2 linked regions of the Rattus norvegicus genome follow. The protein of the gene in region 1 interacts with the protein of each later gene in a pairwise test. Links are inferred from orthologs where the notes say so. Each region holds a gene or a part of one and is shown on either strand. Other genes may lie near its edges. The genes, in order: Tsks and Tssk2.

Region 1 (3,815 bases):
CTCTGGAAGGGCTCTGCTGCTGCTCTTAACTTTTGAGCCATCTCTCCAGCCCTTGTTTTTGTTTTTAAAGAGAGGGTAGAGTCTCTATGCCACAGCTACTTAGACAGATCTCATGGTCTCTATCTGATGATCCAAGATGATTGTCACTTTATACTTCAGAGAGTGGGAGGACAGGAAAGGAGGAGGGATTTTGTGGGTACACATTTGCATCTGGAACCCACGGTCTTGTGCATGCAGGCAAGTACTCTGTCGTTGAGTCACACCCCAGCCCCTCACTGGGGGATTCCAAGGAGTGGCTTTACCATTGAGCCATACCCTCACCTCCAACGGGGAAAATCTAGGCATTTTCTTGAAACTGTCTTCCCCTCTTACTTGTCCCAGCGCACTGTGAGGAATATTAGTCTACTTCTGGCTTTACAAAACAAGGGACTAAATTCGAGGATGCCACCTTTTGCCCAAAGCCACAAACCCATCTAGAACAAAACCAAACTGAAAACACAGCCTGCTACCTCTAGAATTTTCTTGGTGTTGAACTCTCCCGTTTTTCACCAGAGTGGGGTCAACAGTGGATTGGTACGTGCCAAAGACTCCATCACCAGCTTGAAGGAAAAGACCACGCGGGTTAATCAGCATGTTCAGACACTGCAGGTAGGCTACTGGAGGATCCCTATACCCTTGCCTGTGGCCTCTTCCTCCAGAACTAAGTTCCTGGCTTGTAGCCACCTTTCTCCATTGCGCATGCTCAACCCTCAGGAGGCTAAGACGCTGCTCCCCGTATAAACTTTAACCCTGCCTCCCTTCCATGGTCAAGAGCGAGTGCTCTGTGCTGAGTGAGAATCTGGAAAGAAGGCGGCAGGAGGCAGAAGAGTTGGAGGGGTACTGCAGTCAATTGAAGGTGAGCCGCTGTGGAAGGAACCGGTTGGGGAGAAAGGGATGAGAGAAGCAGAGACCACAGAGGGCTTGGGATGTGGCTCAGTTGGTAGAATGCTTGCCTAGCATGCAAAAAACCTCGGGTTCAGTCGTAGTGTGGCATTAAGCCTGAGTTGGGTAGAATACACGTCTGATTTCAGAACTTGAAAGTTCAAGATTCTTTTCAGATATATAACGAGTTGGAAGCGGGGTACATGAGACCCTCTCATGGCTACCAAAAAAAGTCACTCTCTTCTGGCTTTCATGGCCACTGCACGCATTATTGCACATACACTTAAATACATATACACAGGCAAAACACCATACATATACGAATTTTTTTTCAAGACAGGGTTTCTCTGTGTAACCCTGGCTGTCCTGAAACTAACTCTCTAGACCAGGCTGGTCTCAAACTCAGAGATCCACCTGAGTCTGCCTCCCGAGTGCTGGGATTAAAGGCATCCGCTGCCATGGCTGCCGCTGCCACCGCCACCATCATAAGACATTTTCTTTTCTTTTTTTTTTTTTTAAGATTTTATTTATTTCATGTATGTGAGCACACTGTAGCTGTCTTCAGACACACCAGGAGAGGGCATCAGATCCCACTGGATCCCAGATGGTTGTAAGCCACCATCTGGTTGCTGGGAATTGAACTCAGGACCTCTGGAAGAGCAGTCAGTGCTCTTAACCACTGAGCCATCTCTCCAGCCCATAAGACATTTTCAAAAAAATTTTTTTTTAATTTTAAAATTTAAAACAAAAGGAGCACAGGAGAAGGGGGATGATCAACGGGGTAGTGCAGTACAGGCTTGGCTAGGAAGGAAGCTTGGTTGGGAAGTGGATGAGTCCTACATAGGGCAGATGCTATGCAAAAAACGAGGCTGAAGGTGGGGGGCAGAACCGGAATGGGAAGGTAGGGCCCCCGCCCTGATGTTCTGACCCAGGAGAACTGCCGCAAGGTGACCCGTTCAGTGGAAGACGCTGAAATCAAAACCAATGTCCTGAAGCAGAACTCTGCCTTGTTGGAGGTACGAGGGTATGGAGGGGGGTCCCAAGCTAGTGAGAAATTTGGGTGGAGTCTCGGGCTGGGGGTTGGAGGAGCTATGGTGGACAAGGACAGGGGTGTAAAGGCTGCAGATGTTCCAGTGAACTGAGCTGGGTTTGGGACCTGGCTGTAGGGGTTGGATATCAAAAGGGGGAGGGCCCAGGGGAGGAGCCAAATAGGGCTTGCTGGGTGTGACCAGGGTGTGAGCCTGGGGAAGCTTAGTTTGTCAAGGGTGTAGCCTGAAACGACTGGGTAGGCCGGGTCTAGAATGAAGACTTGTTAGCTCACTTTCCAACAAAACTTGGAGAAAACTTGTTGCGATCCCTAAGAGGCAGGGACTGAGGCAGACAGGACAGGAGACGAGAGTGGTAGGTTGCCTGCAGCAGTAGAAACAGCTAGCAGAGTTTAGAGTAAATGTTATCTCCCCTCCTAAAGACAAGCAGGAGTTCAGTTAGACTTCAAGTGTACTTCCCAACTATCCTCTCTCTACACTACTTTGCAGTCTCGGGGATCCCTGGAGTGCAGTTAGCTGCGGGTGGTAAGTTGCCGATCACCTTGACTCATTGTCCTCCCTTGCCCAGGAGAAGCTAAGATACCTCCAGCAGCAACTGCAGGATGAGACGCCCCGGAGACAGGAGGCCGAGTTGCAGGAGCTGGAGCAAAAACTAGAGGCTGGCCTCTCCCGGCATGGCCTAGGCCCTACTACTCCCATTCAGGGCTGCTCCGGTCCTCCTGGTAGCCCGGAGGAACCCCCGCGGCCGCGAGGCCTGCCCTCCAATGGCTGGGGCATGGCAATCCGCGCAGGGGAGGGACCCTCGCTGAGCGAGCAGGAGTTGCAGAAGGTCTCCAGCGGCCTAGAGGAGCTGAGGTGGGCGGGGACTGGAGGAGGTGGGTGGATCAGGACCCAGGTGGAGCAAAGGGCGGGAGTTGGGAGGAGCTTCGAGGCTGGGTGGGCGGGACAGAGTGTATCCTAGTCGGGTTGTAGTGGGTGAGAATTGGAAAAGCTTGATGTGGGAGGGGTTTAAGGGGGCTAAGCGATTGGGCACAGAAGCCCACTAGATGAGGATTGTGTGATAGCATAGGTGGTACCGGGCTAATCCAATACACCAAGAAAAGGAAAATGAAAAACAAAAACAAACAAACAAAAAAAAGGGGGGGGTTGGGGATTTAGCTCAGTGTAGAGCGCTTGCCTAGCAAGCGGAAGGCCCTGGGTTCGGTCCCCAGCTCCTCCGGAAAAAAAAAAAAGGAAAATGGTGGGAGGCGGGGGAGTGGTGCTTGCCTTTAATCCCTTAATCGCAGCACTGAGAGACAGAGTTCAATGCCAGCCTGGTCTACATAGAGAGTATCAGCACATCCTGGACTACAATAGACAAGACTGTGTTTTTTGTTTTTTGGGTTTTTTTTGTTTTTTGTTTTTGAGACAGGGTTTCTCTGTGCAGCCCTGGATGTCCTGGAACTCACTCTGTAGATCAAGCTAGCCCTCAAACTCACAGAGCTCTGCCTGCCTCTGCCCCCCAAGTTCTAGGATCAAAGGTGTGCACCACCACCACCCGGCAACAGACCTTGTCTTTAAAACAAAACAAAAAGGAAAGAAAAGGGGTGCTGGAGAGATGGCTCAGCGGTTAAGAGCACTGACTGTTCTTCCAGAGGTCCTGAGTTCAAATCCCAGCAACCACATGGTGGCTTACAACCATTTGTAATGAGATCCGATACCCTCATCTGCTGTGTCTGAAGGCAGCGACTGTGTACTCATATAATAAATAAATCTTTAAAAAAAAGAAAAAGAAAGAAAAGAAAAATAATTCGGTGATCTATTTGGGGCTAGGTCAACAGGGGCGTAGTCAAATCTATACCCAACCCT
Region 2 (3,671 bases), on another chromosome or scaffold:
GTGCTGGCCACCTCCAGCATTTGGCCAGTATGAGGGAGTCTTTAAGGAGAGGTGGAACCAGGAAATGGTGCCTAAGGAACTTTGATTGAGGGCTGCTAAGGGTCTACATTGCAGGTCTACAGAATGGGTAAAATAGCAACAAGTTTCCAGGCGGGCTGCCCCATTCCTGGGGATGGTGAGGGTGAGACTTGCACAGGAAAGGTCTGAATTTGATTGCCCCTGAAGTGAATGGACAATGAGCACTGTGTAAGAACAAAACAGGGGCGGGGTGGCTTGTATTGCTTAAGATAAGAGAGAGGCATGGAGCTGTCCAGTGCTAGAGGCCTTGGGGATGGAGGAAAGTCAGAAGCCAACATGTGTGAGCCTAGCAAAAGGACCTTGATAGAGGTCCCCCTGCCACAGGCCTCACTGAGTCTGCCTGTGCCTGTGTACAGGTTCCTAAACCCCTGTGCTGGAGATCCCCGCGCTGGATGAGTCCTAGAGAAAAAGACTCCCCACTGGGCACTCTCAATGCTTGTATACACTTTGTGGTTTATTTGGTGGTCAGTAATTAATGGCTTTGCTACGAAGTGGAAGAAAGCTAATAGAACGTAATCAAAATAGTGGTTTAATTGACGGATTTTACTTGTTCCTTGCACCTGTGCCTTCTTCAGCTCCTACCTCCTACTTAGCTTATGTGGGTGCAGACTGCACACCATGATCCCCCAGGGCCCTCTCCGCCACTAGGTACTTGCTTTCCCCACCTCAGCTCCAGAGATGTGATGGTCTTTAGCTCTGGAAGTCTCCGCCAGCCTCTCCTCCATCCTGTCTTCATTCTCAGGTGCTACCAGCAGCCGGTGCTGGGGTTTGCTCCCCAGTTTGTGGTCAGGCCGGTGTTCGGGTCTTGAGCCTGGTCGAGTATCCAACTTGCAATCAGCTCGATACTTGCCTTCCCCCTCCCTCTTGAAGGAGGCAGAAGACATGGCTTTGGGCTTGGGGGGCTGAAGCCACGAGTGGCTGAGGATCTCATCAATGTGCAGCCTCCGGTTGACATCTGGCTGTAGGATGCGGTAGATGAGGTCCTTGCACTCACCAGTTAGATTCTTGGAGCGTGGGAAGTCCACTCGGTGCTCCTTCTGGATGCGCAGCATCTTTTTGATGTCAGAGTCATCGTAGGGCATGGAGCCACAGACCATGATGTAGAGGATCACACCCAGGCTCCAGATGTCATACACCTTGGGCTGGTAGGGGATGCCCTGCAGCACCTCGGGGGCCGCATAAGCTGCTGACCCACAGAAGGTTTTGCTGAGGACGATGCGCCCGCTCCCGTCCCGCAGGCAGCGCTTGGAGAAGCCGAAGTCAGACAGCTTGATGTTGAAGTCCTTGTCAAGCAGAAGGTTCTCACACTTGAGGTCTCGGTGGACGACATCCAGATCATGGCAGTACTTGACGGCTGAGGAGAGCTGGCGGAACATCTTGCGTGCCACATCCTCGTGCAGGGCTCCTCGGCACTTGATGAACTCGAGGAGGTCGCCCTGGACGCCCAGCTCCATGACAATGTAGATGCGTCCATCAGAGGTCTCAAAGATCTCATAGGTCTTAATGATGGAACGGTGGTTGACAGTCGCCAGGATGTCCATCTCCCTAGGAAGGAATCTCTCCACAAAGTCAGTGGGTGTTTTCTTGCGGTCTATGATCTTGACTGCCACATTGAACTTGAGGCGCTCTGAGTAGGCAGATTTGACTTTTGCATAGGAGCCCTTGCCCAGATTGATTCCCACGATGTAACCCTTCTTCCTTAGGACCGCGGCATCGTCCATGGTGCCAGGAGCGGCCGGTGCCGCCGCCCTCTACATCCCCTCCCCACACGGGCCAGCAGGCATTGTCCTCATTCCCACTGTGGGGAGGCGTCTGGCTGGGCTGGGCCTGGAGTGGAACGCTCAGCATTGTCACCAAGTGACCAGCGAATGAAGTCATAAAGCTGGGCTGCTGGGAGTGGGGACTAGGCTTGGGGGAATGGGGCCCCTGGACGGAAGCCAGGAAGGCCTAGAAGGAGCACCCCCTCCCCACCCACTGGAATGAAGCTGGCATTCAGGCCTGTGGTAACCCTCCCTGGCCCTTTTTCTTGCTGTGACTTCGTTGTCACCAGTGAGGCCCAAAGAGAAGCCATACAGGTTCAGTCTCTGTTTCACTGTGGGGCCATGGGAGTCGGGCCTGTGTCGGTCCTCACTTGACTGGACCCAGTTGGTTGGGGTTTGAAGAAAACTTCCTATGAGTTTGTGTCAGTCAGTGGAAGCTGCCCAGGTCCAGTCAGTCCAGTGGTGGTTCCAGTCTACTGGATGAAAGCAGCCCCGTGTCTGGGGCCTGGAGTTGGCAAGGGTCTTTGGGCTACAGAGTGGGCAGATGACCCACATCCCTGGTGAACAGGTGTGTGGGGGTGGGAGGGTAGGTTGTACAAGAGGATGGACTGAGGGTCCAGGTAGGCAGGTGCATGCTTGGGAGAGTGCGGTGTGGAAGATAGGGAGGCTTCAACCAGATGTACAAGGTGGCGAGGTACCCAAGCAGACAAGCGCTGAGAATGGTTCAAGTGTAAGTCAGGGAAGAAAAAGGTCATGGAGCTTTTGTCTGCAAATGATCGGCAGCCCCTATAGAGCCTAACACCCTTTTAAGATGGTTGCTGTTAGGAAGAGAAGCCAGGTGACTTTGGGATGCATGTGGAGCCCCAGGGCCTCGGGCCAGAGCAGGCATCTGAGGGTCGAGGGGAGGGGAGAGGGTTACGAAAAGCCAATGGGCCTGGTAGTGAGGAGGGGACTGTGTTAGGCTTGGTGCTGGACAGCCCAGGGATTGATAGCCCTTAGCGTTGCCCATGAAGAGCAAGCTTGGAGTTTTGTGAGCAGGTGAGCCAGGCCACATGAAGGGCTGTGGCAATGCTCATTATTCGCAGTTGGAGTGTCTTGTGTTTTGTGCATGGATGTTTGTTTTGCAAGGTGGCATCATCTGTCCATCTTCCTGGCTCCTTTAGAAGTCCCATGCTCATTTTCACATCCCACAGATGAAAGTCAAACACTTTCAGTGAGTTGCCAGAATGTGTAAGTGCTGTGCTCAGAGGGCAAGCAAGAAGGCCCATTTCTAGATGGGAGGTGGGACAGACAGCATCAAACAGGAAGTGACATAGGCGCAGAGGGGAACAAGAATACACCATAGAGGCCACCTTGAAGTTCTGGTTCTAATGCCCATGAGTGACACACACAGCAGGAGCCCTTGTGTCACTTCTATCTCAACTGTCTCCTCATTGAATTTTAAGCAGCCTCAGGCCACCTTGGTGTCTTCTGTCCCCAAAACCTTGGCAAAAACCACAGAGGTGAAAAGCCAGGTGCCTACACACTTCTCAGAACACCCCACCACTAGCCCCATGTCTTGGAGCCTTCTGCCCCATGCAGGTTTCTTCATGGCAGTGCTGCTCAGAGTCTGTACTATGCCTGAACCCTAGATACTTGGTTCTCACAGCAAAGTTCACAGAAGCAGGCTGTAAAGTGTTGTTTGGTCCCAGAAGGCTTTGAGGACAAACCCCCTTGCTGAGCCTGGGGAGATGGGCAGTCTTCAAAGGTGAATTGGTGAAGCGCAAGGCCCTGGGTTCGGTCCCCAGCTCCGAAAAAAAGAACAAAAAAAAAAAAAAGGTGAATTGGCAAGTA

What was found.
Region 2: the proteins of Tsks (region 1) and Tssk2 interact in binary tests that used the Homo sapiens proteins (3 or more experiments, as listed by UniProt). The link is inferred for Rattus norvegicus from reciprocal best matches to the Homo sapiens genes TSKS and TSSK2.

The regions. Positions count from the first base shown.
Region 1 is NC_086019.1:104,570,396-104,574,210, forward strand, and holds part of Tsks (testis-specific serine kinase substrate), read left to right. Parts: intron 1-552; coding exon 553-648; intron 649-811; coding exon 812-895; intron 896-1,826; coding exon 1,827-1,937; intron 1,938-2,535; coding exon 2,536-2,822; intron 2,823-3,815. UniProt on the Homo sapiens protein: May play a role in testicular physiology, most probably in the process of spermatogenesis or spermatid development.
Region 2 is NC_086029.1:96,590,353-96,594,023, forward strand, and holds Tssk2 (testis-specific serine/threonine-protein kinase 2), read right to left. Parts: upstream 1,868-3,671; 5' UTR 1,800-1,867; coding exon 723-1,799; 3' UTR 512-722; downstream 1-511.